7 linked regions of the Sus scrofa genome follow. The protein of the gene in region 7 purifies or fractionates together with the protein of the main gene of each other region. This does not show direct contact. Links are inferred from orthologs where the notes say so. Each region holds a gene or a part of one and is shown on either strand. Other genes may lie near its edges. The genes, in order: BAZ2A, RBBP4, BAZ1A, HMGXB4, CHRAC1, HDAC2 and SMARCA5.

Region 1 (3,826 bases), on a different chromosome or scaffold from region 7:
GAAATGACTTCCCTTATGGTTTACAGGCCAGAAACAAGCGGAAACAAGAGACCAAGAGCTTAAAGCAGAAGGAGACTAAGAAGAAATCCAAGGTAGGTACATGAACACACAAGCATAACTTTGAAGTCACCAAACTGATGTTGCAAGACATGTGAGTTGGTCTTGTTTTATAGTCATGTTTCTGGGTCTAAGGGGGGAGGATGGGAACCAGGGAAGGGTAGTGACTTAAATCTTTATGGCACTCTTGGTTCCTCTCTCCCTTGTGTGGGTAGGCTGACAAGGAAAAGGTAAAAACAAAGCAGGAAAGACTGAAGGAGAAAGTCAAGAAGGAAAAGAAGGAGAAGGTAAAAATGAAAGAAAAGGAGGAGGTAGCCAAAGCCAAGTCAGCCTGTAAAAAAGCAGATAAAATGTTGGCTACACAGAGGCGTTTGGAGGAACGGCAGAGGCAGCAGATGATTTTGGAGGAGATGAAGAAGCCCACAGAGGACATGTGTCTGACTGACCACCAGGTAGTGAGGGGAGAATAACAGATCCTGGAGGGGCCGTCTGTGAAGACACTTCTGTTAAAGGAAGAACCTCCTAGGTATCCAGGCTGTAGCCTTCTCGTATGTTTGACAGAACCCCCCTACCACTTTTATCCCTGCAGCCCCTGCCTGACTTCTCACGCATCCCTGGTCTGATCCTGCCTAGTGGGGCCTTCTCAGACTGCTTGACCATTGTGGAGTTCCTGCACAGCTTCGGCAAGGTGCTGGGCTTTGACCCTGCCAAAGATGTACCTAGCCTGGGGGTCCTGCAGGAGGGACTCCTGTGTCAAGGCGACAGCCTGGGCGAGGTTCAAGATCTTCTGGTGCGGCTCCTGAAAGCTGCACTCTATGATCCCGGCTTGCCCTCCTGCTGTCAGGTGAGGGCCCTTCCTGGGCAGGTTTAGAGGGCCTGGGATCCTCTGCTCCTCTCCATTTTGTTTTCTCTTTAAACACAGGGAACTCCCTCCTCAAAATGATTAAAGCGAGTGAAGGGAGATATACGAATAATTCCCTACTTAGAACGGTACTAAAGTAAAATGCATTCAGTAGAAACTACTTCACATTTTCAATTTTCATCTTTTCCTGGGCTAGAGAAATGCAGTACGATGGTCTTTCATGATGCTGGGCAGTGGCAGCAAGTCAAGTGGCCCCCACCCAGTCAAGCACGCATTTACCCTTATACTTAGAACCATTCTGTGCCCATGCAGCCACTCTGTTTTTCACTTTTCGTACAATATTCAATAGATTACAAGATAGTCCACACTTTATAATAAAATAGACTTTATGTTAGATGCTTTTGCCCAACTCCAGAGGCTATGTAAATGTTCTGAGCATGTGTAAAGTAGGGTTGGCTAAGCTATCATGTTCTGTAGATTTGATGCATTTCCTTTTTGCTTCCTCCCCCCTTTCTTTCTTTCTTTCTTTTTTTTTTTTTTTTTTTTTTTGTCAGCCCGTGGCATACGGAGTTCTCAGGCCAGGGATCAGATCCGAACTACAGTTGTGACATACGCCACAGCTGTGGCAACACTGGCTCCTTTAACCGACTGTAACTGGGGTCAGGGGATGGAACCTGTGTTCTGGTGCTGCAGAGATGCCACTGATCCCGTTGTGTCATAGCAGGAACTCCAATGCATTTTCTCTCTTTTTTTTAATGGAATTTTTATTTTTCCTTTTATGGAAGTTCCCCGGCAAGGGGTCAAATCAGAGCTGCAGCTGCTGGCCTATGCCACAACCTCAGCAACACTGGATCTGAGCCACATCTGTGACTTACACCACAGCTCCTGGAAACACTGGATCCTCTAACCCACTGAGTGAGGCCAGGGATCCAACTCATATCCTCACAGGCACTATGTCAGGTTCTTTTTTTCTTTTTTTGGCCACCCGCGGCATGGCTCAGCAGGTTAAGAACCCAACATAGGGAGTTCCTGCTGTGGCAAAATGGGATAGATGGCGTCTTGGGAGCACTGGACTTGGATTCAATGCTCTCCCCAGTGCAGTGGCTTCATTTCCACTCAGTGACGATGGGAACTCTCCCCAATGCATTTTCAAATTAAAATATTTTCAATTTGAAGGAGTTGCCATTGTGGCTCAGCAGTTAGCAAATCTGACTAGCATCCATGAGGATGCAGGTTCGATCCCTGGCTTCGCTCAGTGGGTTAAGGATCTGGTATTGCTGTGAGCTGTGGTGTAGGCCGGCAGCTACAGCTGATTCAGCCCCTAGCCTGGGAACCTCCATATGGTGAGTGAGGCCCAAAAAGGAATAAAATAAAAAAACTCTTTTTCAGTTTTTGATACGTTTACTGGGACATTATCCCATAGAAGTCAGAATGATCTGTATACTACATGCTAGCTCTTCTTGTAATTTATTGCCTTATTCCTAGATTAGTTCTACTCATTTCTTCAAGATTTTAGGTCTTGACTCTTATCATTCTCTCCAGGAACAAGTGGAGGAAGACCTGTAGTTTCTTTCTGTTTCTGTTTTACAAATTTTTTCCTTCTACTTCTTTTTCTTTCTGACTTCCCTCTGCTTATTTTGTTCATTTAACTTTAATCTACTCCTTTTCTTTTGTACCTTTCCTTTTCCTTCTCTCATCTTCTCTTAGCATCTTTCATTCTTTTCCTATCTTAACCCCATAGCTCTTCCTACTGTATTTTCCTATTCCAGATTCACCCGACTTGAGTCATTCCTCTTTTTTCTCTTAACTCCTGTTATGCTCTCCTCCAAACAGTCCTTAAAGATCCTGGGGGAGAAGGTGTCTGAGATCCCACTGACAAGAGACAATGTGTCTGAGATCCTGCGCTGCTTCCTTATGGCGTATGGAGTGGAGCCAGCCCTCTGTGACAGCCTCCGAACACAGCCTTTTCAGGCCCAGCCACCCCAGCAGAAGGCTGCTGTCCTGGCCTTCCTTGTGCATGAGCTCAACGGCTCTACCCTCATCATCAAGTGAGGGGCTGGGGTGGGGGTGGTTATTGTGTCCCTTGATTGGAATGGGAGCGGGGAGGGGTTTAGCCATGGGTGATGTGTGTCCAGTGCCATGCTCTAGACATGCTGGCGTGACTTGGGACTGAATCTCATTTCTTCCCTGGGAGAGCCTAAACCTCTGCCATTCTTTTATCCTAGGCTCTAGGATGAAACTCCCTTTATCCTTGAGCCTCCCTTCTTTTGTGTGTGTGTTGCCACCTCTCCCTCAATATGCCATTCCCTCTTCCCCTGCAGTGAGATTGACAAGACTCTGGAGAATATGTCCAGCTACAGGAAAAACAAGTGGATTGTTGAAGGCCGGCTCCGAAGGTAGGGGTGGGACAAGAGGGTAGGGCCCAGGGAGAGGAGAGAAGGGGTAAAGGGGAAAGCATAGCCTGGACTTTTGCTTGGAACTCAAAGTCCTCAGCGCTTCTCCTGGGGTTGGGAACTTACCCCAGGGTTCAGGATGGCTTAGATTTGAGGTGTTCCTTTTGTGGCAGCATCATGTTCCTCACCACAGTTTCTTGTCATCTGTCTATCTCAAGACTGAAAACTGCTCTGGCCAAGAGAACTGGGCGACCTGAGATAGAGCTGCAGGGGCCAGAGGAAGGCCTGGGGCGGAGGCGCAGTTCTCGCATCATGGAGGAGACCAGTGGCATGGAAGAGGAAGAAGAGGAGGAGACTGCAGCTGCCGTCCATGGCCGTAGGGGTCGTAGAGATGGAGAGGTACGTGCCCAGACCAAGGAAAGTGGGAGCTGGTGGGAGTTGGGAGACAGATTATTTCTTTTTCTAGAATCTGATGGTTACCTTTTTCTTGGTATCCACTTGTTTCTCCAGGTTG
Region 2 (4,289 bases), on a different chromosome or scaffold from region 7:
TATTAACATATGTAGGACAGGACTCCCCCCTCCCCCACTTTTTTTGCTCGCTTAGGGTCACACCTGTAGCACATCAAGTTCCCAGGCTAGGGGCTGAATCAGAGCTACAGCTGCCAGCCACAGCCACGCTCTGAATCTGAGCCACATTTGCGACCTACACCACAGCTCACGGCAACACTGGATCCTTTAATCCACTGCCAGGGGCAGGGACTGAATCCACATCCTCATGGATACTGGTTGGGTTCGTTACTGCTGAGCCACAACGGGAACTCCAGATTTCCCCATTTTTAAAAAGCTACTACGAAAGTAGCATGCTCATTAAGTTGGCAATGAAATTTCTATAAAATTTCTATTACTTGTTGAGCTGAAACATAGGCCAACAACCACATTTTACAAATATCTTGACTCAAAAGACCTGAGTTCTGAAGGAACCTAGTTATTTAGCATACATATAACTTTCAGCTGTTACTCTGAACACCAACAGTTTTGTAATAAAAAATCCATTATTCCCCCAGGCACGCTCAGTTTGTTAAAGCTTTATACTACTTAAAGTCACCTTCCTTTTCACACTGTCACTTCCCACTGAAAGCCTTTCCTGATATTCCAAGTTGAGATAATTTTCCTTTCTCTGATCATTTTATCTTTGCCACTTTCATAATTATACCTGCCTATTCACTAGACTTGAAAGCAGGTACCATGTCACATTTACCTTTGCATTAACTAACTAGAAAATACCACTGACTGCCGAGATTCAAACATTTTGATGTTAAAAACTGAACTCATCCTGATAGTTTCTGAAAGCTGACAAGTTTTACATTACCATTTGGTCAACTACAGCTATAATCCCACTATTCAATTCAGTGTTAGGAAAAGGAAACATCTCCCACACTGCTGGTGGGAAAGCAAACTGGTGCAGCTATTATGGAAAACAGTATGTAAATGCCTCAGAAAACTAAGGATAGAGTTACCATATGACCCAGCAATCCTACTCCCCAGTATATATCCAGACAAAACTATAATTCAAAATGATACATGTACCGCTATGTTCACAGCAGCATTATTCACAATAGCCAAGACATGGGAACAATCTGACAGATGAATAAAGATGTGGTACATATATACAATGGAATACTACTCAGCCGTAAAAAGGAAGAAATAATGCCATTTGCAGCAACCTGGATGCAATTAGATGATCATACTAAGTGAAATCAGAAAGAGAAAGACAAATATCATTTATATTGGAGAGTCTAAAATATGACAAACCTATCTACAAAACAGAAACAGACTCAGATATAGGAAATAAATTTGTGGTTGCCAAGGGGGTTGGGAGAGGGAGCAGGAGGTGGGGGTTAGCAGATGTAATAAGCTAGTCTACACGAAAGTGGTAATAAACAAGATCCTACTGTATAACAAAGAAAATTATATTCAGTGTCCTAGGAAAACCATAATGGAAAAGAATATATATCCAAAAAAAAGTGTACACAGGAAACTGTGATTGGGTCACTTTGCTATACAACAGAAACCGAAGAAGCATGGAAAATCAGCTGTACTTTAAAAACATAACTGAATCACTTTGCCGTACAGCAGAAATTTACACAACATTGTAAATCAGTACCTCAATAAAAACAAGTAAATAAAAAGAAAACATCAGTATGTTCTCTCTTATATGCTAAACTGCAAAATAATTTTACATTTTGCCTTACTTTCTGGCCTAGGAAAAAAATGTCACCAATAGGCTTTGATCACGTGTCCTCTACGGGTGACTGGAGAGAGGAAAACAGGGAAAATCAATGTGAGAAATCTACACTGAGGACACAACAAAACAGCATTCGAGAGATTCCTATCACCTGGTTACATCTGGAAGCCACTGTGCAGTTAGGCTGGGCCACTCCAGAGCATGGGTCATCACCAAATCGTAAAGAAAAGGGGTGTTCTTTTTCCATATTTTGTACTCTTCGTTGATCACACGTTCTTCTACTGCGTCATCAAAGGCTGCTAAAAAATTAAGAACAAATTAAGTTAGCGACCACAAACGGAAACCGAGTAAACACTTCCAAAGCTACCGTCACGGCTCCTGAATCCTGATTCTGAAATGGAGATTAGTCTAGATCTCCCGGAGGCGCAGGCACCACCACCGCTCTCCAGCTTCGCCGGGCGGGAACTGCTCGGGTAATCCCGACCAGACACTCCGTTAGCCCTTCGGGCGACGGCGCCCGCCGTCGAGCGCACAGAACCGACGGTGAGACCGAGCACCGACCCCTGCGGGTAGGGAGAGCGGCCGGGAGGACCCGGAGAGAGGCAGGTAGACCGACGGGGAGCGCGGGAGGGACCAAACACCCCCCCCGAGGCCACCACGGCCAGCCTCACACCGCTGCGCCGGGCCTCCGCTCCAGAGGGGCTGGCGCGCCATGAGCCCGCCCCGCGGGGCGATTTTTCCTCACGCCTGCGATGGCGGGGACGGCCCTAGGCAGAGTCTGGCCTGCCCCCACCGTTAGGCCGCGTTGAGGCCGCGGCGCAAGCCTGACTCCTCCCGCCCTCCTGGGGCGGCCCCGGCACCCTCACCTTCCTTGTCCGCCATGGCGTACAGGCAAGCCGGGGGGATCCTGGGGCAGAGCGTTGCGAGAGGGGCGGGGAGGCTGCGAGCGCTCCTTCTGCGCGCGCGGCCTCTATTGTTTCCTGCTGCCCCTGCGTGAGGGCCGACTCGCGCACCTTCGCGCCAACATCGGCCAATCGGAGTGCGCCGAACGTCGGTGTGGGCGGGGAAGCCGCGATCGCAGCCTATCCAGACGCGCGGAGCAGCTTGCCTCCAGGCCCAGGCGCGCGCTCTGCCCCTGCCCCCACACGGCCCCAAGCCGACTTCCTCCGATCACGCGCGCGCGCTCGCGCGCGCGGGAGTAGTAGAAGTGCACCCGCCCGGGGTCACGTGAGAGGTTTAGTCCGCACGCTTTTGGGGGCAGCCATTTTCGTGAAGGGTGTTAAGCTAGCGACCCCTTCAAAGTAGTACTTTAGATGGGAAAATGTAGGATGCTTCCGGGTCTAGTTATCTATTGTGGGGCTAGGCGGCAAGAAAAGGCCTCTATCATTCAGATCGAAAGGTGTCTAATTCGTGTCCCTTATTCCACGTCCTCCAAATTATTTGTTTCCTTAGTCGTAGGAAGAACTATTAAGCAAGAGCAGAAAGTGGGTCCTTCGACTTTTAATGATGTGCTCCAAACCCTGGGACACAGAACGGAAGTCTAGAAGGATTAAGTACCTCCCAGGGAATGGAGCCCTGGTCCTTTAAGGGTGTGCCAAGGGGCGGAGTCTAGAGCGGAAGTTATAAGTCAGGGCCGAAGTCCAGCTGAAGAAGGGCGGAAGCTGAGTTTGGGTCCAAAAGCACAATCATGGCGCTGGAAGGGGAAGATTTTAGAGATTACAATTTGACTGAGGAGCAGAAGGCGATCAAGGCCAAGTATCCTCCAGTCAATCGGAAGTACGAGTGTGAGTAGGTGTCTCACTTCTCTCATTACCTGGGGCTTCTGGCCTCGCCTTCCACTTTGTCCCCTACGGTACTTCCGGCACGTTCCCTTTTAGCCCTGTTTGTCTCTTCTGTGCTTGTCCCGCGGATGCTGAAGGGAAAAGCCACCCGGTCTGAATCGGAAATCTGGGCTTCCACATTTAGTCTTTTGAACTTTTTCTACGTGTGCCTATTCACGCTTACTTTGTGGGAATTTTATTGGTGTATTAATTCTAAACACAACCGTGTTTTCAAGCGTTTGCGGAGTTGTCGTCTCCTAAGAGTGTGGCTAGGTTAGGGGACTGAAAGCTCTCAGTAGGGAACTTCTAACTTGGTGTTTTACCTGTATCGTGTTAGTAAAAAGACCTGGTTTTGCCATATTTAGTTAAGTGACTTTAGGCAAATCACATAACCTTTCTTTGCATTCAGTTCCTTCATGTGAGGGATAATTGAGATAAAAATAAATGTGAAAGTGTAGTGCAGACTCTGAAGTTCTATATAAACCTTAAGCTATCATCCCTAAAGGTGGCTGTGGTCTGGGAAGGACTAATCTGACTCTAATATCCCTGCTTAAAATATTTCATTAAATTCCCCTTGTCTTCAGTATAGAATCCAACTATTTACCATAGCTTACTAGGCTTAGTTCTTTCTGGACCCTGTATGTCTCCCTACGCTCATTTTTCTCTCACTTAGCAATTTTTAAAAATTACTTTTAATAAGTTCTATACATGATGCCAAATTCAAAAAGTACAGGGAGTTCCCACTGTGGTACAGTGGGTTAAGAATCTGACTG
Region 3 (3,710 bases), on a different chromosome or scaffold from region 7:
AAAAGTGAGGTTATTTCAACACAATGTCATAATTTATAAGAACTAGTCATAGCAGCATTAGAGTAACTCTGGTTATCAAATTTTTTTTTGTCTTTTGTTGGCTGCACCTGCAACATATGGAAGTTCCCAGACTAGGAGTCTAACTGCAGCTACAGCTGCCAGTCTACGCCATAGCCACAGCAATGCCAGATCTGAGCCACGTTTGTGATCTACACCATAGCTCATGGCAACATCAGATCCTTCACCCACTGAGCAAGGCCAGGGATTGAGCCCGTGTCCTTATGGATACTAGTCAGGTCCTTAACCTGCTGAGCCATGACAGGATTCTTCAATTTTAAATCATTTCCAAGAATGTGTTATTTTTCTTTTAAAACTTCTATCAAGAGGAAATTTCTCTTCCACATCTCATTTGTACTATTTGGCCAAAACAAAAGCAAGTATCTCTATTTGTTTTCCTATTTAGTGAAGTTTCCTACTAGTCATAAACATTTAAAAGTAAAGTTATCTAAAAGCAAAAACAAAAGAATCAGTCACAGCACTAGAAGGGACTGAGCTGACTATCTAACTCCATTTTTTTCAATATAGGAACCAACTTGCCAAGTTTTTTTTCTTAAGTAGACAGTGACTAAATAAGTACTTTGACTACCTCAGAGTTGCCATGTAGACTAAATCAGATATATACATGAATAATTTTATAAAGTCTAGTAATATTACCTGGATTTTAGAAACAAGTTTCAAAAAAGGCCAGCTGTCATCATGCCGTACCAATTCTACAACAAGTTGTTCAAAAGCAGACAATTCATGAACTCCTCCCTGTCGGCCTGAACTCCTTCGATTCAGTGTCATAGGAGATGATTCTGAATAAAGAATTGTATTAATTATTAGGTGATAACCAAGCAAAATATTTGATCACCACAAGCCAAACAGGGCATATAAATAAAAACTAAATTCAACCAGAAAACCGATACTCTACCCACTGAGATGTTAAACTAACTTACGTGCTGAGACATATAAATTTAGACCAAAAATTCATTATTTCCTTTCTTTTTTTTAGATTTTTACTTTTTCCATTATAGTTGGTTGATAGTGCTGTCAATTTTCTACTGTACAGCAAAGTGACCTAGCCACATACACACATATATACATTCTTTTCCTCACATTATCCTCCATCATGTCCTTTATATCATCACAATTGACTAGATATAGTTCCCTATGCTATACAGCAGGATCTCATTGCTTATCCACTTCAAATGCAATAGTTTGCATCTATTAACTCCAAGCTCCCAGTCCACCCACTCCCTCCCCCTTGGAAACCACACATTATTTCCTTTTGATATTAAAAGTTTCCAATTGAAATAAACATTCACTGGGAACAGACTGTAAAGAGTGTAATACAAAAGGACATTCTAGAAGTACCCTGGTGACCTAGCTGTTAAAGACTCGGCATTATCACTGCTGTGGCTCCGGGAGCAGGGGTTCAATTTCTGGCCCAGGAACTTCCACGTGGCACAGGTGAGAAACAAAAAAAGGAAATTCTAGAACACAAAATCTGTGGATTGTTTTTTTACTCCATTTTATTAAAAATATGTCTTGGACTATAGTAAAATGAGGCAAAAAGAAAAAAACCCACAGGAAATCCCAGTCACGTTTTTGAATAATGCAACACAAACTCTCTAAAATTCTTCAAAGAACAGTAGTAGCATTTTTTGGTTAACGTCATTTTTTAAAAAAATCAAAGTTTTATTACTACTGGCATTAAAGAAAAGGGAAGATAGGATTGAAGAGATAGATGGGTATGGAGTTCCCGTCGTGGCGCAGTGGTTAACGAATCCGACTAGGAACCATGAGGTTGTGGGTTCAATCCCTGCCCTTGCTCAGTGGGTTAACGATCCGGCGTTGCTGTGAGCTGTGGTGTAGGTCGAGGATGCGGCTCCGATCCCCTGTTGCTGTGGCTCTGGCGTAGGCTGGCGGCTGCAGCTCCGATTCAACCCCTAGCCTGGGAACCTCCATATGCTGCAGGAGCAGCCCAAGAAATAGCAAAAAGACAAAAAAAAAAAAAAAAAAAAAAAAAAAAGAGAGAGATAAATGGGTAAAGGCATTATTATATGGATAAATACTACTATGAACAATAATTATCAGAATTAAAAAGATAGTTGGTCTGCCGAGTGTTATGATGATGATGATTCTGGGAATGGGGAGTCGTGGCGTGCTCCTTCAGTGCCCCCATACTGCCCTTGCACTGCCCTGCCGTCTTAGGCCAAAGGGAGGGGAGCAAGTGGGGTGCTAGCAGTGGCCCCTCAGCAAAAGCTATCATGAGGGTGGGGAACTAAAAAGGGCTCCTGCTGACTCCCCTTAAAAAAAAAAAAAAAAAAAGATCATTGGTCATCACTCCTTAGCAATATTACTGTTCCAACTCTCCCTTGCCCCAGATTCAGTGTGTTAGATGGGAGACTTACCAAATTACCAGAAGTAGCTCATCGAGGTGATGATGAGTATGTGTGTTTTGAAGGAAGAAAAGGTGGAAGAGAATGAAACATGTTATACTGTGATAAGCTGAGCCTGTGCAAGTATTGGCCAATCTCTCCATTAAAAACAGAACATTGTAGGAGTTCCTGTCGTGGCTCAGTGGCTAATGAATCCGACTAGGAACCACGAGGTTTCGGGTTCGATCCCTGGCCTTGCTCAGTGGGTTAAGGATCCGGCGTTGCCGTGAGCTGCGGTATGGGTCACAGACGCGGCTCGGATCCTGCGTTGCTGTGGCTGTGGCGAAGGCCAGCAGCTACAGTTCTGATTCCACCCCTAGCGTGGGAACCTCCATATGCCGCGGGTTTGGTCCTAGAAGAGGCAAAAAGAAAAAAACCCACAAAAAACAAAAACAAAACACCTCAGAACATTCTTTCTTTTTTGCTTTTTTTTAGGGCCATGGCACATAGAAGTTCCTAGGCTAGGGGTCGAATCAGAACTGCAACTACCAGCCACAGCAACACTGGATTCCACTGGGCAAGGCCAGGGATCAAACCTACAGGCTCATGGATACTTGTAACATTCGTAACCTGCTGAGCCACAACGGAACTCGCTGTTGGCGAATTTCTTAACAACTACTCTGCTACATTAGTAGAATTACTAGTAATGCAGTTTATCTTTAGTTCCCAAATAGCTGCCCCTTCCTTGAATATTATGCTTCAGGTTAGGTTGCTCCATAGTAATTCTGAATAGTGAGTCTTTTGAAAATGATCCAAAGTATCTCAACATTCAACCTTTCCAAATCACTCAATTTTCTTAGGTAAGAATAAATACCATGATATCATTTATACCTGGAATCTAAAATATGGTACAAATGAACCTATCTACAGAAAAGAAACAAACTCATGGACATGGAGAACAGACGTGTGGTTGCCAAGAGGGAGGCAGAAGGAGTGGAATGGACTAGGAGTTTGGGGTTTGTAGATGCAAACTATTGCATTTGGAGTGAATAAGCAATGAGAACCTGCTGTATAGCACAGGGAACTATATCTAGTCACTTGTGATAGAACATGATGGAGGATAATGTGAGAAAAAGAATGTATAAATATCTGTAACTAGGTTACTTCGCAGAACAGCAGAAATTGACAGAACATTGTAAATCAACTATAATAAAAATTTTTAAAAAGAATAATTTAAATTAGAGGTCTTCATACCTGTAGATTGTCTTTTCCTGCCTCTTCTCTTGG
Region 4 (3,826 bases), on a different chromosome or scaffold from region 7:
CAGACAGCAGCGGCACTAATATCTTAGTAGAGGGCCACCAACATCCCTCAGTGCTAATGGTCAGATGGCAGCACCGATTCTGAGGTCACTCCAAGTCGAAATGTAAAATCACAGAGGAAACAACTGGCTCAGCCTAATGTCCAGGGGTTTAAATATTTCTTCTAAATTAAAAAAATATATATATTTCTTCTGACCTGCTGGCTCGCAACACTGATAGCAGGATAAAAATGAAATGGAAAACAAAAACTTATTTGGGTAAAAATTATATGTTGTTTCACCCAGATGAACTGTACCTTAAAGCAAGACGGTAATTCTAATTCCTGCACCACCTTTACATCATCTTTTTTTTTTTTTTTGCCTTTTCTAGGGCCGCTCCCACGGCATATGGAGGTTCCCAGGCTAGGGGGCGAATCGGAGCTGTAACTGCCAGCCTACGCCTCAGCCACAGCAATGCAGGATCTGAGCTGCGTCTGTGGCCTACGCCACAGCTCACGGCAACGCCGGATCCTTAACCCACTGAGCAAGGCCAGGGATCGAACCCACAACCTCATGGTTCCTAGTCGGATTTGTTAACCACTGCACCACAACGGGAACTCCACCTTCATATCATCTTAAAGTGACTATGAATGATACAGATATGACTACTCATCACTGGCTTATTAGCTTTTTGATATGAAGGCGTATTAGTTGGTGATGGTTGAGGAGAATGATGATGGGGAACCTACTTACCCAGTAAACACTGTTCCATGCTTTATTATTTGCTGTGACTATGAAGTGGACCACTTTCTTCCGTTCTCACACTAGGACTGACCAGTAGGTGTTAGTAGTAGACTTTAGATTCTCTCTTCCTTTTTTTCTTTAAGGCCGCACCCCTGGCACATGGAAGTTCCCAGGCTACAGGTCGGATCAGAGCTGCAGCTGCCGGCCTACACCACAGCCACAGCAATGCCAGACCTGACACATGTGCAACCTACACTTTGGCTCACAGCAATGCTGGATATTTTAAGCCATTTAGCAAGGCCAGGGATTGAACCTGCATTCTCATGGATACTAGTTGGGTTCACTGCTGCTGAGTCACAATGGGAACTCCTAGATTCTCTTTTAACACAAATCATTGCTCAAATTAGATCATCCTGTGGCTAAATGGAAGGCTGTTGGGAAAAATTAGATGAAGTAAGGAGAGACAGTCTCTCTGCGACAGAATCCTCGCCTGAGTGAACCGGCACCAATCAGTTCGCTGCCCTCTGCTAGCTCATTTTCCACTGACTTGAAATTTTTTTCCTCCTACTTTCAGGGTTGTTTGGGATGGTCTATAGGAGAATTATATACTTTGAAAGGCATAAAGCAATGAAAACATGCCCATAATAAAGTGTACTTACCAGTTTGTCCTTTTCTGGCAACTGTTTCCACACCTCAGCCAGTTTTTTACTAAGTTCCCCAAAGTCTGCCATAAAAGAGTAAAAACAAACAAATAAACTCAATAAAGGTTTAACCATAAATACATAAAATGGAAGTCTGATAAGAGCAAAAACTGGGAAAAGGGTTTTGAAGATCAGATTTAAATAGCACAAGATTCTTTCAGAAAACTAAACCAAAGCCCATTAACTTTCCCTGATTCTTTTCTAGAACGAAGGGGCTGTTCTGGTGTCATGAGACAGGCTCAAATTCTCACACGTCTACTCTCTAAGGATGTATTCCTTAAGCATCTTTATGGTGTCTTTTAATTTGATCCCACAAAGCAGCGCTTATCGACTTAGGTTAAAGAAAACAAGTTACATAGAATTTGATAAAAGATGTTAGATTTTTACCAAGTTTCTGAGAGCGTGGAAAGAAAGTGGAATTTCCCTAGAGCAGCTCAGATGTGATCTTCCAGATGCGTAATGCTGTGTTTCCACGTGAACAGCGAGTGCATTCCTGCCTTACGTGGCGTGCCTCACCGCAACGCTGGTGACAGGGCCGGGAGGCTAGTTTCACACACTGGGTGAGTGAGACTCGTAGAGGTTACATGACGGGTCCAAGGTTACATGACGGGTCCAAGGTTCAGACCCATCTGAACAATATGTGAGCTCACTCTTAAACAAGGGCAGTTTAAGGATTCCTGTGGAATCTTGGAAGTAGAACACTGCATATTTATGTGCTGTGCTTTATGGCTGGGGTGAACGAAGACACAAATCTAAAATGACTTGCACAGCTGAGGAAAGAAATGAGTTTGGAGTTCTTTTCAAGCTTGGGAAGAAGTGTGCCTGCTGACCGACTGAATGAACTGCACTGCTTCGGAGACACAAAGGGGAAGTAAAAAAACGAAAGATGAGAAATGTTCTTACCTATGCCTGGATGGTCAGCCACAATGGTCACGCGGTACTCTTTACAGAACACCTGGTAGGCTGACATGTTCTTCTTTTTTGGCTAAGCACCACAGAAAAACACAACAGGACAGGACTTAATTAGAACACAAAGTTGAGTAACCCTGCCTCTGTGGGAACAAAACAGAAAAGGTACCTGCACTTTTTCATCAAGAGATCTAAACTACCAACTGGCTTTCCTAAACAGGATAACTGATTTTTAAGCTGTGTTACTTATGACTTAGAGATAAGTATCAATTTTACTTTTAGAATGTAAAAACCACATGCTAACTTATTCTTGGGTTTTTCAGGCTGTTGGAGGTACTTATTTGCAAAGCCCCTCATTCTTCCCACATACAATCCCATGGTACATATTTCTGTTAGAATTAAACACTAGGAAAATCTTTCTCTCTCTTAGGTTGTCTTTTTCTTTTCTTTTTTTTTTTGCCTTTTTAGGGCCGCACCCAAGGCATATGGAAGTTCCCAGGCTAGTGGTCAAATTGGAACTGTAGATGCTGGCCTACACAACCACAGTAACGTAGGATCTTAGCTGCATCTGTGACCTACACCACAGCTCGAGGCAGTGCCGGATCCTTAACCTACTGATCGAGGCCAGGGACTGGACTTGCATCCTCATGGGTATCAGTTGGGTTCGTTACCACTGAGCCACGATGGGAACTACAGGTTGTCTATTTTTTATCTTCTGTAAAAGAACCACATAAGTTCTCTTTACTTTGGGGCCAGAAAGTCCAGAGCCAAATTTATGTTCATACTGTTCCTCTGGTTTTTATTTCCAGTCTTATAATTTTCCTGATCCTGCTTTGACTGTCACTTGTAGTTTCTCATTACTTTATTATTCACATCCTTGTGGTCCAAGGTGAGAAGTAAATAAATAACTGAAGATGATTCACTGGTAGTTAATATAAGACAAACCTCTTTCACTTCAAGAAACTGCTTGAAGTATGTTATTCTTCACTGTATTCTGACAATTCCAAAAGCAAGGTATGATTTTTGAGAAACAAAAACCAAATATGCCTTTAAAGTCAGGTCAATGAGTGATATATAAACAAAAGATTATATGTTACTGTGCATTCCATTTTACAATTATCCATAGACTGAGGGAAAAAATTAAGTTTTCCTACCTGAAAAGGGGCATCACATGGCACCCGTCCAAACCTCTCATTTTGAGGATGAGAAAAAGGAAATTCAGAAAAATAGTGATTGCCTGGGTGCCACAGTTATGCCAGTTGTACACTAGAATGGCTACAATCCAGGAAGCCTGACTTCCAGGGCTACCGCAGTATAGGCCAAAGGAAAAAAAAATATGTTGCTTCCTTATAGAAAAAGTTACTATTTCAAACCTCATCTGTAAGTATCAAAATAGGATGGTCGGCCCTTCATCTCCTCCTCTGCTTTTCTGGCCCTGCAGTTATTACAGTGACATAACCATTTGGTGCTTTAAAAGCTACTGGGAACTTCTGTTT
Region 5 (4,489 bases), on a different chromosome or scaffold from region 7:
TGTCTCAGAATAACCAAGGCATTAGAATAATAAAGGGTTTTAATAAAACTAGTTCCATAAAACACTTTACTGTAAAAAGTCTAGCTTTTAATTTAAAAAGTTATTTCTTTACAGTTTAAAAAAATGCAATATTTGAACAAATACAATGCCAAACAAATTTTCTTGAAATACAAAAATTCAGATGTAACATACTACCCATAGACCACGTATTTTAGCTAAAACCGGATCTGGCTGTTTACAAAAACTAATTTCAAAATATACACATGTGAATTTATACAACTGATATTTAGAAGTTCTTCAAAATCTATCTGTAAGCTACAAAGCTAAGCAAAGCTGCCTTGGCCTCAACGGCTTAGAGCTGCAGACTGGCTGTGACCCCAGCTCGAAGCCCCTTGTTTGGACCCCCACTCCGGTTGCAGCGTGGGCCTGGGAAAGAGACGCTCTGCTTTGGGCTATTTACAGCAGAGGCACCTCACGCCCCATCTCAGCCAGGAAGGAACGTGGTGTCCCTGGGGTGTCTCGAGAGTGAGCAGACGCTTGCTCAGAGCAAAGGTGTTCATCCCGGAGCCGTGCTCCCCGGCCGGTCACTAACGCATTTCTTTTTGGCTTAGGATTCCGCTTCATCATCACTCTCATCGTCGTCGTCGTCATTCTCCTCCTCTTCTCCCCTCTTCTCTTTAAGCATTTTCAGATATTTACTAGCTAAAATCTTCTTTGGTAATATGTCTTAAAAAACATAAAGCTAGCATCAGTAATGTAAATTTCAAAATGTCCCAGTTCCTGCTTTGACCTCTAAACAGGTTCCAAGACAAAACAAAGTTCAGACGACAATTCTGGGTAAACAGCAGGAAACTAGCCCTGCAAACCTGCCTCCCTTCCACTGAAGCAAACCGCGTGCTTCTGGGTGCTGGTGCCCACGGCTCAACCCAGCCCGCACAGGGTGGCTGCCCCAAGGATCCCCGTGAGCTCTTGTTAGCTGTGACCCACAGCTACTGCTGCACAACAACTCTGAGTTTCTGTTTCCTGGACCAATTAAGGAGGCGTCAGGGAAGGGCTGCCACGCCCCAGCCAACAAACACCCTGTAGGGAGAGTGCTGGCTTCTTGGTCCAGGTGAATCACATTACAAACATACTCAAACGGCCAAAACTAAGACTCATGCCAGGTCGTGGGAAACTCTGGCACCTAGAGAAAACAGCCAAGTGTCTATTTCAGCGCAAGAAGAAAAAAGAGCAGAGAAAAAAGCGTAAATTGCTAAGCATTTTTTTTAAGCAGAATGTTTGAAAGTCTAAATACCTGCAAGAAACTGAAAAGTTTCCGACTCTTCTGCAGTGTTTGATAAATCACTGTAAGTGAGAGCTTTCTTTTCTCTTCCACTGCCATGTCGGTAGGAATAGGTGGCTAGATACTGAACAAAGAGTTCCTAAAACAAAATGAAAAACGAAAGGTGTGCTTTGAAAACTTACAGACCTTCATTTTTAATTACACTCATTTCGATGACTGCAGATTATCTCGGTTTCCCAAATTACAGAAAATCACGCGAGAAAGGACTACGCGGTCAGAAAGGAAACAAAGGCTGAATTAAGTTGTCAGGGAAGCAGGCGTCTCCCTAAAGTTTACTTTAGATTTATAACTTATGAAAAATAATCAAAAGTGATTCAACAATGAGTCATATTTAATGACGAACCTCTGGAGTTAAAAAGGGCAAGAGACCATTCAAAAATTCGGTGTGGCTGAGGAACACACTTCCGTTTGAACACAGTGTTTCCAGGCTGTCCGCCTACAACCGTTACGGTCAACAACCTAAAGGTAAAAAAACGATCAGCTTCCCTTTCTGCCCAGACTGAGCCCTGGGCTGAGCCTCTGGGAATTTCTATTTTAAATCCACCTAGTTCCGTTAGTAAGGGATGGAAGAAGTGCTTGCGAAACTCCTCAATTCCTTAACACCTACAGAACGAAGCTGGACCCGAAAGCACAACTATCCCAAGACCACGTGACCTCCCACCGCCCTCACCCTGACCGTAGGGACACCGGACACTGGGCGCAACCAGCAGGGGCCGGAAGCCACTCTAGGGAACGTGAAAGCGAGGGAAACCGTGCAGCTGAAACCTGGCCCTGGGCAAGAACGCCCACCACGCGCCAAATCAAAAGACCGGGGAGGGGCTAGCACCTCCGGCTGTAAAACCACGGCCCTGGAAAGGCTAATTCTGACCTGGGGACGTGCGGCCCCGAAGACTGGGAGGAAGGCGCGGGCCCGTTCGCTCAACCGTCCGAGGGGTGGAGCCCAAAGCCACGAAAGCGGAAGCGGCCGGAAGCGACAAGAGGGGAGGGATTGGGGTTGGGGGCCGACAACTCGGGAGGAGGAGACGCCGAAGGAGGGGGGGTGGGCGGGGCGCTGGGCGCGCGGGGGAGGCCGGGAACGGAGTGGGCGGGGCGAGGGCGCGCGGGGTAAGACGGGATTGACGCCCGGGGGCGGGGCGAAGGGCGCGCGGGAGCTGGGGAGCGCGCGGCGGAAGGCAGCGAGGCCGCGCCCAGGAGAGCGCGCGGGCGCGCGCAGGGGAGCGGGCGGCGCGCGGGCCGAGGGGTACTGGGCAGCGCGGCGGGACTCGGCCGGGCTCGGAGGGCGGGGCGGGACGCAACGGTCCCGGGCGGCCCCCACTGTCGCCCTCCGCTTCTCACTCCTCCCCGCGCGGTCCGCCTCACCGTGGCCTTGGCCGTGAGCACCAGCGCCTCCTGGTTGATGCTGGACACCTCGGGGGAGCTCTTCATGATGACCCGGATGCGGGACAGGGGCAGCGACACCAGCCGAGGCTCCCCGCACTTGTCCTTGCCCGCGACCCCGTCCGCCATCTCTGCGCCCCGCCCCCGCGGCGGCAGCCCCGACCCGCCGCGAGGTGGCCGGCCCGCTCGGTTGGTGCGGGAGCGGCGTCCCGCTGCCCCGTGGGAGTTGTAGTGTCGGGAGGCGCGGCCCCGGGCGCGGACTACAAGCCCCGTGATGCCGCGCGCGGACGAGGCGGAAGGAAGGGCGGCTGGGCCGGGGGCGGGGGCCGGGGAGGCGTCTCCCTGAAGGTCGAGGCAGATACCGTGTAGGCAGGAGAGGACTGGGAACCGCGGGGGGAAGGGAGGGGGCTGGGCAGTGAGGAGCGCGGACGGCCCTGTTGATGAGAAGGCGCTTTGCTGGGAAGAGGAGCAGCAGCAACGGCGCGGAGGGAGGAGCCTTTCCGGAAAGCTCGGGAGGCGCGCTCTGCGCCCGGGGTGTGCGGGATGAAGGCGGAGAGGCGGCCTGGGGCCGGGTCCTATTGGATTGTAGAAGAAGGAAAATGGGGGTTCCCGTCGTGGCGCAGCGGAAGCAAATCCGACTAGGAACCGGGAGGTTGAGGGTTTAATCCCTGGCCTCACTCGGTTAAGGACCCGGCGTTGCCGTGAGCTGTGGTGTAGGTCGCAGACGCGGCTCGGATCCTGCATTGCTGTGGCTGTGGTGTAGGCTGGCGGCTACGGTTCCGATTGGACCCCTAGCTTGGGAACCTCCATACGCCCCGCGGGTGTGGCCCTAAAAAACAAAATAATAATAAGGAAAATGGGAAGTGCTGAAAGAGATCAGAGGGATGAGGGGATATGTCTCTTAAGTTGGGGGGGGGCTTTTGTTTGTCTTTTTAGGACCTCACCTGGGGCATATGGAAGTTCCCAGGCTAGGGGTCAAATCGGAGCTGTAGCTGCCGGCCTGCACCACAGCAACATGGGATCCTTAACTCACTGAGCCAGGCCAGGGCTGGAACCCGCGTCCTTTTGGGTGCTAGTCAGATTCGTTTCAGCTGAGCCGCGTCGGGACCTCCCGTCTTAAATTTTATTAAAAATCCCCCTGGCTATTGATGGAGAATAGACCGGAGGGGAGTGGTGAGGATGGGGAGGTTGAAAGGGTGGAAGCAAAGAAATTGCAGAGTAGAAGGTGATGGCAGGTGATGAAATGGGATGCAGGTGTGGCTGGGGTGAAGTGAGCTAGGGAACGGATGATAGGAAGTAGCCATGGGCCAGATGAGATAGGGCTTTGTAGATCACAGAATTCCTTCCAAAAGGGTTGGGGGGAGTAAGGGGGTCCCCCTTCAGTTTTACAAGGAATCCTCAAGTTGCTGTGTGTGAATAGATCGTCCAGGGGCAGGAGCGGAAGCAGGCAGAGAGCACAGTTAGGAAGCGGTTCCGGGGATGGAGAGAGACAGTGAGTCAGACCCGAGTGGAAGCGGTGATAGGGGATCTAATTTGACGATAGAGCCAGCAGGGCTTGCCAGTGTGTTATGGAGTAAGAGTGAAAGAACCGTGGTGCTGTTTGCTGAGATGGAGACTGCAGGAGGAGCAGAGCTGGCCCAGGTGTGGTTTGGAGCACGTTAGGTTTCAGTCGCCTGGGGAACGCCAGTGGCGGTGTCTCGTGGACTCTTGGCTCTTCCAGCCTGGAGTTCAGGCTTGAGCACTGAATTCCAAGCCGCCATTGTCTGGGTG
Region 6 (3,826 bases), on a different chromosome or scaffold from region 7:
AATCAATTTTTTTAAAAGCTGGAGAGTGAGGTTTCCCTACTGATATCCATTATCCCAAAGTTAACAAGGAACCAAAACAAAGCAGAGAACATCCAAATAGCTTTGGTAGTTTGGTGGACCAATAGGCTTCAGATAGGTTGTTTTACTTAAGTAGTTTTGGTGTTATTACACTGACTTTTCAAATCAATAAATAATTAAAATAGATCAGGACAAAATACCTAGATTTGGAAAAATCTAATTATAAGCTTCTAAAAGTACTCATTTATACTTATCACTACTAATGTATATTTTTAACACAGAAACGTACATCTCTGCATCTGCTTACTATACTCAGACATGTTATCTGGCCTTATTGAACGCAGAAATTTGATGTATTCATCACTGTGGTATTTTGTCATTTCTTCAGCAGTGGCTTTATGGGGCCTCTGTGAAGAAAAATAAATGTCAGAACTGCAGAATTACAACTGGTTATATCAAATACAAAGTATACAATTTCCCCTAACGATACTCTCGAAAAAGAATTAGGTCTGTCAGGACAAAGTAGATAAAATTCTAAAGCTAATCTATATTTATACATGTGTGTTTTAGGAAACAGTAATCATAGCTAAAGATAATTCATATTCCTATAAAAAGATTAGGGAGGTCTAACACCAACTATGAATTAGTCACTCCTTTTATTTTAGTGGAAATAAGTCAACTCTTCTCAAGACAAATCCATGTTCATACACTCTCCTTTCTCACATTATCTTTATTAACCTTCTGCTCTATATCCAGCAATTTCATCAACGACCAATAAACTTCAGTAAGGATGAGACTCATTCAGACAGAATGGATTCATTCTCTATAGTCTGTTCTAATCTCTCTTCCTTTGACTATCCTAATGATCCTTGTTCCTAGGAGGGTAATTTCATTTATGACACTTCTTCCACAAGGCTTCCTGATTGGTCTTATCCAACTCTTCTCCAAATGTCTATATTTGAAAGAAACAAAGTCACATATAATGCACAACATTAGTAACTGCTTCAAGTCTTTCTTTTCTTCCCATAGATAAGAACTGTTACATCTCTTATCTGTTTATATATACTGTATCTTTTCTACAAAATCAATACTTTGTTTGCTCACTAACACAATGTTCCTTATGCCAACAAATATCTGTAGGATTAATTTTCTACCTAATTCTTTTGTAACAGCCTCAGGTCAACTCTTCAGAAGCACAGACAGGTCAATATTTATTGTAATAAAAATATTTACTATGATAAATTGAGTTGTTTTCCAGATATGTGAAAACCTGGGGGAGGGAAACTGCTTTTTAAAATGGTTGAAGGAAGAGGGAAAAAAAGAGACCACAGGTCCCAAACTCTCAAGTTTTCTCTGAAGAATAAAACAAAAAGAGGAGTTTGTTTTCTTCTGTAACTTTTCATCTACTAAATGCCCTCTAACTTTGAAAACAAAGTTTCAAAGTAGCAGTTTAAAGAAAAAAAAAAAAAAAATCAGTGAATATTTTACCAAAAAGCATACTCACATATATTTCCATCTTTCTATATAAGCCATAATTTAGCAGCAAGTTATGCGTCATGCGGATTCTATGAGGTTTCATGGGGTGACCCTGTCCATAATAATAATTTCCAATATCACCTAAAATAGAAAAGAGACAAAATGAACAATACTAACAAAAGAATCTTCATGAACTATCTAAATTTTTACAGTTCATCATCAGAAGGCATTTTTCACCTAAGTAAGCTTTATTTAAAATCTTAAATAAGGATTTTAGATTTTACAACTTTCAAACTGTATTGGTTTTCTACCAAGATACTACGCACGGAGTTCCCGTCGTGGCGCAGTGGTTAACGAATCCGACTAGGAACCATGAGGTTGCGGGTTCGATCCCTGACCTTGCTCAGTGGGTTAAGGATCCGGTGTTGCCGTGAGCTGCGGTGTAGGTTGCAGACACGGCTCGGATCTCAAGTTGCTGTGGCTCTGGCGTAGGCCGGTGGCTACAGCTCTGATTCGACCCCTAGCCTGGGAACCTCCACATGCCATGGGAGCGGCCCAAAGAAATAGCAAAAAGACAAAAAAAAAAAAAGATACTATGCACATTTTTACATGCCAATTACTCCATTAATACATTATGTCTGCTCACAGATTAAGGTAAGCAAGCTTTTCCGATCTTTAGTTTACCAAACTTTCTTATTTAGGAGCAACCCAAATAAAATACTTTTTACTCACTTATAAAAAAATTTTGTTCCTTAATGATATCTGCTTTTAGTAATCATTGGCAAATTCAGATGCTCAAGGTAAATCCTCTGAGTTTCATCAGTATGATCTAAAAATTTTACAGCAAATACTGCTTCTGGGATGATTCACTGGTGTCCCAGAAATTCTTTTTTTTGGGGGGGGGGCACATCCACAGCATGTATAAGTCCCCAGGCCACAGACAGAACCCACAGAGCATCGACTGAGCCACCAGATCCTCAACTGGCTGAGCCGCCAGGAAATTCCATTCCAGAAAATCTTTATAGTTGGTATTATTCTGGCTAAAATATTCTGTATATCCAATATCATAGTTAATAACAGAAATTTTGGCAACTGAAATTTGGATTTTAAGTAAAGTTTTGCTACGACAGCATATTTAGGACATTTTTTAAGGTAATAAGGATACTTTGTCTCATTCTTCATGATTAGAAAGTGATAACTCCTGGAGTTCCTGCAGTTGCACAGTGGTTAATGAACCTGACTAGTATCCATAAGGATGCAGGTTCAATCCCTGGCTTTGCTCAGTGGGTTAAGGATCCAGTGTTGCCATGAGCTGTGGTGTAGGTTGCAGACAAGGCTTGGGTATGGCATGGCTGTGATGTAGACTGGCAGCTGTAGCTCCAATTCAACCCCTAGCCTGAGAATTTCCATATGCCGCTGGCGCGGCCCTAAAAAGACAAAAACAACAACAAAAAGGTGATAATTCCTAACCTATCTTTTTATGACATCTTATATTCCAAGGTCTTAAAACTTACATGTAAGATTTTAAATCAAGTAACACCAAAATTCTGGATTTTTGTTTATCAAATTTCAAGGATACCAATTAAATACACACTCTCTTTCTAATGTAATGGGCGATTTTTACAACAGTCTTTATTAGAAATCACTTTCAGTACTAATTCTAGTTTTTAAGCAAGGAATTCTAAAATTTTGTTAGGACAAACTGATTTTAATGGTTTGAAGTTAATCATTTAGACAAGTTCATATAACAAAAACTAGGGATAAAGAATGCCATTAATTCATCTTCTAAATCAAAAATTCTTTCAAGATCCTGCCTAAACACACACCTTTTTCTGTTTAATGGAAACTAAGAATTCAGAAACTTTTGGTTCTTCTCTCTTCCATATTTTTGACAATAGTCCAGGATGAACATTCATTTTTATAACATAACTGTTTCTATTACTACTTGTTTTGTTGATATCACACCTCTCTAATTAACTCTTCATTTTCAACACAAGCTCTCCTCTGAAAACGATTCAAACATAGACATGGTCATTTAAAGGGAAAGCCATCTTCCTTAATGCAATAAAGCACGGGGACACTCCTCTGCATTTATCACAATTCAGAGGCTATGACTTCAGGAAAGTACCTTCCAAGCAATAAAGCTGTGGCCTACAGAGTGGCAGCACATATATACAGTTTCTTAAAAGCAGCTTGGTCTCAATGAATTCTTAGCTATGGAAAGCCCACTAGAGTTACAAAGCATCAAGGACCTAAGTTAATGCAAATAAGGTATTTCTAAGTTTTTTTCACTACCAAAAGAGATCACAAGAATAATAAAGAAACTCTTGTC
Region 7 (3,198 bases):
GTTTGGGTTTACATGGCAGTTCTCAGGTATAGACACATGAGGAATACACAACAGTATAGTCTTAAATAATGAAGTGGAAAATGCACAGTTATCTTTTTTTCCCCTCCTAGCATGGATTGTGTATGAAAATTGTTGTTCCTTTTGCTTTTTAAAATTCCACCTGTTGGGGATGTGTAAGTGATGTTCTAATCCTGTTACAATATACCTTGGTTTTGAAATTGTAATAATGAAAACTTGGAGATGGAGAATACAGGCTTACCATGTAAATTTATAACTCAGGAGCTCCAGCGGAGGTGTAACACCTTAATTACCTTGATTGAAAGAGAAAACATGGAACTAGAAGAAAAGGAGAAGGCAGAGAAAAAGAAAAGAGGACCAAAACCTTCAGTGAGTACTCATGAAAAATATAAATATTTTCTTGGAGAACTTAACTTTTTCCAAGAATTTGAATATTATTTGGCTATCAGTGATGTGTTAGTCTGTTTTTGGTAAATAGTATGGCCTGAACTTGCTTAAAAAGTATAAATTAATCTTGATTACCTTGTGTGGGGAGAATCATGTCATGGTGGTAGTTCATAGTATGAGGATTTTGAGAACCTGGGAAGGTCTGTCTGGTGAATGCTAAGAGCCTACACCTGATTTTTAGAATATGTAAAGAAATAGTAGGAAAGCAGTGATCTTTACAGCCTTTACTGTTGACTTCGAAGCTTTGATTTGTTGTCCCAGTGGTATTTTAGCAGTGCTAAAGCAAAAGTTTGAGAACAAAAAAACCCTCTTTTTTTATTTAATAATAGTTTATAAGTCATTGTTAAATAAACATCTCTAGGTAAGTCTGGTATTTATGTAGCCTTACAAAATATTTCTCATTACTGCTTTGTTTTGATAGAGGACATATGTTATACATTTGTTTGGTGTACTGGTTTACATTGCTAATTGTGAATGGTTCATTTACTTTGTTATCAGCATTAATTTTTTTATTGTGTCAGTAAAATGAGTAGACAAATACGATTACTTGGAGAATTAAGGTTATTCTGGGTAAGAAAATCTGATAGCTGTTACTCAGTTGCAGCTATTAGTCTAGCGCTGTCATGTGTCTTTTAAGAGTACCCTTGTGATGAAGATATTCCTTGTGTTTGTTTATAGACACAGAAACGTAAAATGGATGGAGCACCTGATGGCAGAGGAAGAAAAAAGAAGCTGAAACTATGAATACATATTTGTTTCATAATCACTAACTTTAAACTAGTAGTTCTTTAATTTACGGGTCTTCATAAGATGTACTGTACAATGCTCAGTCGTTATGTCATTCAAAGACATCAGGTTCATCTGTTTACCGAGCTAGAAACATAGTATGTAGTTTCACTTTTTTAAATGCAACAGCTGTGCTGAAATTTTTTTATCATTAACACTTGAAGTAATAAAATAGGCTTCATTTATTAATAAATGTTTCATTTGATTTATTTTTCTATTATAGTTCCATTTGTGAAGATTGTGACTTTTTGTTTATCAGCTATAATTTCTACACTTGTAAGGCTTAAAAAAGAAGCAAACAAGTTTAAAAAATTGCAAATAACATTTGTCCCTTCAGTCTTCACTTAGCTGTGTAATTGTTTTAATTCACTTTGCCTTTGCAGAAATTTGGGTATCTCCTTTGTAGTGCTGTTGAGTCTCATCTGGGAAGATTATGTAAATTGCATTCTCCTTGCTTATTATATGGGTAGAATGGGAAAAAAAAAAGGCAAGACAACTTCTCATTAAATTCTGTGCATATTTGTGTTATGCTTTGTTTCTGTAGTTGGTTCTGAGGTGAATACGCTCTGTTCTGTTTGGAAGAATGGCCTTTTAGTTGTATAGCCAAAGACATTTAGTATTTTCTGGTTCCTTAAGGTGTTACTGTACCATTTTGTAAAAGGAATATTATTATTATTTTTTTTAATTGTTTGGTAAATATTTTGACAAATTACCTTCTGAAGCAGCCACTACTTAGAAAGATAATGTCAAGACTAAGGTGATTTTTTCTTTTTTAAAAAGACCCAGCCAAAATAAGGTGTGAATTTGTCATACTGTTAAATTGAAATTGGTAACAAAATGTATCCCATTCCAGTTTACCTTTTTTGGGTTGTAGGGTAATTGAAAATTTTATTTTATTATATTTAAAATAATTTCTAAGTGTAAGCAGCAAGACTGACTATAATTCCAGTTTTTATTTTCTATGGACAGACTTGATAAACTGGAGACCCTGAAGCAGGATGACCCAAATTGTAGTGTCAGGATTTTAGCTGTACCAGAGGCCTTTATGTGCTACACATAATTTGTATAAAGTTTTATATGTGCAAATTGGGTACATAAACAGTTCTCCATTTTTCTAAGGGAATGCAATAAATGTAGCATCGTGAATAAATATAACTTTTATAATCCTTAAGTGGTCTTTTCTTTCCATTTCTTTTAATTTTCTTTTCTCATTTGCTATCTGTTTTTTCCTTAATTAGATTCCTTCCTCTCAGATTTCTATCAGTTGCGTTCATCTGCTGACACATAATTGAGATTTTTATTTATAATACTTTTTCTGTAGTATTAACTAATACTGCTTTTTAAAAGAGGGGTTGTTGCCATAAATATCAAGCAAAATACAATGGTTATGGTTATGGCAATTTGTGGAGTAAATTGTTTTGTGTTCCCCTTAAATTGATTTCTGTATAATCTTAGATTCTTAAAATAACAATTATGATCTATTGTAGCAAAATTTGAGGAGTGGTTACTTTTTCCATGAAAAGAACTGTCTTAGAGCAGTTGCCTTATTTTGAAAGAAATAGTTGGAACAACATAAGGCTGAAGAAAACTTTACAGAGGTCACAAAAGAAGAAGCAGTATTTTAAAGAGGAAGAAGTTACTGTGCATGTGTGGTTGGGGTGAGTGCAGGGGATGGGAGGAGGGAGAGAGGGGAAATATGAAAGGAACCTAGTGCCAGCCCTTCAGAGCACAGGGCACGGGGACATGTAAAGGGAACACCTGAAAAAAGCATGAAAGAAATAATATCCAAATTTAGCATTGCAGTTGAACACCAAAGTAAGAGGCATTTATGTTTGACAGGCCAATTAGGATATGATTACTGAATGTTTAGAATAAAGTAAAGCCAAGTTTTTATTTATACTGCCAATTAAGGGGAAGGAAAAAGAATAAGCTCACATCAACTGTTTT

What was found.
Region 1: the proteins of SMARCA5 (region 7) and BAZ2A purify together in Homo sapiens (affinity purification with western blotting; 3 studies listed by BioGRID and IntAct, with this or other methods). This does not show direct contact. The link is inferred for Sus scrofa from reciprocal best matches to the Homo sapiens genes SMARCA5 and BAZ2A.
Region 2: the proteins of SMARCA5 (region 7) and RBBP4 fractionate together in Homo sapiens (co-fractionation; 6 studies listed by BioGRID and IntAct, with this or other methods). This does not show direct contact. The link is inferred for Sus scrofa from reciprocal best matches to the Homo sapiens genes SMARCA5 and RBBP4.
Region 3: the proteins of SMARCA5 (region 7) and BAZ1A purify together in Homo sapiens (affinity purification with western blotting; 8 studies listed by BioGRID and IntAct, with this or other methods). This does not show direct contact. The link is inferred for Sus scrofa from reciprocal best matches to the Homo sapiens genes SMARCA5 and BAZ1A.
Region 4: the proteins of SMARCA5 (region 7) and HMGXB4 purify together in Homo sapiens (affinity purification with mass spectrometry; 3 studies listed by BioGRID and IntAct, with this or other methods). This does not show direct contact. The link is inferred for Sus scrofa from reciprocal best matches to the Homo sapiens genes SMARCA5 and HMGXB4.
Region 5: the proteins of SMARCA5 (region 7) and CHRAC1 fractionate together in Homo sapiens (co-fractionation; 5 studies listed by BioGRID and IntAct, with this or other methods). This does not show direct contact. The link is inferred for Sus scrofa from reciprocal best matches to the Homo sapiens genes SMARCA5 and CHRAC1.
Region 6: the proteins of SMARCA5 (region 7) and HDAC2 fractionate together in Homo sapiens (co-fractionation; 5 studies listed by BioGRID, with this or other methods). This does not show direct contact. The link is inferred for Sus scrofa from reciprocal best matches to the Homo sapiens genes SMARCA5 and HDAC2.

What each region holds. Positions count from the first base shown.
Region 1 is NC_010447.5:21,941,313-21,945,138, reverse strand, and holds part of BAZ2A (bromodomain adjacent to zinc finger domain protein 2A), read left to right. Parts: intron 1-26; coding exon 27-92; intron 93-272; coding exon 273-509; intron 510-646; coding exon 647-901; intron 902-2,752; coding exon 2,753-2,967; intron 2,968-3,240; coding exon 3,241-3,315; intron 3,316-3,530; coding exon 3,531-3,711; intron 3,712-3,822; coding exon 3,823-3,826. UniProt on the Homo sapiens protein: Regulatory subunit of the ATP-dependent NoRC-1 and NoRC-5 ISWI chromatin remodeling complexes, which form ordered nucleosome arrays on chromatin and facilitate access to DNA during DNA-templated processes such as DNA replication, transcription, and repair.
Region 2 is NC_010448.4:88,985,666-88,989,954, reverse strand, and holds the start of RBBP4 (histone-binding protein RBBP4), read right to left. Parts: upstream 2,864-4,289; 5' UTR 2,579-2,863; coding exon 2,563-2,578; intron 1,996-2,562; coding exon 1,848-1,995; intron 1-1,847. Other genes in the region: ZBTB8OS (protein archease), read left to right, coding at 3,384-3,480. UniProt on the Homo sapiens protein: Core histone-binding subunit that may target chromatin assembly factors, chromatin remodeling factors and histone deacetylases to their histone substrates in a manner that is regulated by nucleosomal DNA.
Region 3 is NC_010449.5:65,063,536-65,067,245, reverse strand, and holds part of BAZ1A (bromodomain adjacent to zinc finger domain protein 1A), read right to left. Parts: coding exon 3,678-3,710; intron 858-3,677; coding exon 715-857; intron 1-714. UniProt on the Homo sapiens protein: Regulatory subunit of the ATP-dependent ACF-1 and ACF-5 ISWI chromatin remodeling complexes, which form ordered nucleosome arrays on chromatin and slide edge- and center-positioned histone octamers away from their original location on the DNA template to facilitate access to DNA during DNA-templated processes such as DNA replication, transcription, and repair.
Region 4 is NW_018084968.1:1,835,481-1,839,306, reverse strand, and holds part of HMGXB4 (HMG domain-containing protein 4), read right to left. Parts: intron 2,407-3,826; coding exon 2,325-2,406; intron 1,445-2,324; coding exon 1,380-1,444; intron 1-1,379. UniProt on the Homo sapiens protein: Negatively regulates Wnt/beta-catenin signaling during development.
Region 5 is NC_010446.5:3,025,859-3,030,347, forward strand, and holds the start of CHRAC1 (chromatin accessibility complex protein 1), read right to left. Parts: upstream 2,951-4,489; 5' UTR 2,849-2,950; coding exon 2,702-2,848; intron 2,364-2,701; exon of another isoform or gene 2,211-2,363; intron 1,422-2,210; coding exon 1,295-1,421; intron 727-1,294; coding exon 608-726; 3' UTR 1-607. UniProt on the Homo sapiens protein: Forms a complex with DNA polymerase epsilon subunit POLE3 and binds naked DNA, which is then incorporated into chromatin, aided by the nucleosome remodeling activity of ISWI/SNF2H and ACF1.
Region 6 is NC_010443.5:79,888,056-79,891,881, forward strand, and holds part of HDAC2 (histone deacetylase 2), read right to left. Parts: intron 1,636-3,826; coding exon 1,523-1,635; intron 426-1,522; coding exon 308-425; intron 1-307. UniProt on the Homo sapiens protein: Histone deacetylase that catalyzes the deacetylation of lysine residues on the N-terminal part of the core histones (H2A, H2B, H3 and H4).
Region 7 is NC_010450.4:84,183,796-84,186,993, reverse strand, and holds the end of SMARCA5 (SWI/SNF-related matrix-associated actin-dependent regulator of chromatin subfamily A member 5), read left to right. Parts: intron 1-279; coding exon 280-387; intron 388-1,143; coding exon 1,144-1,209; 3' UTR 1,210-2,422; downstream 2,423-3,198. UniProt on the Homo sapiens protein: ATPase that possesses intrinsic ATP-dependent nucleosome-remodeling activity.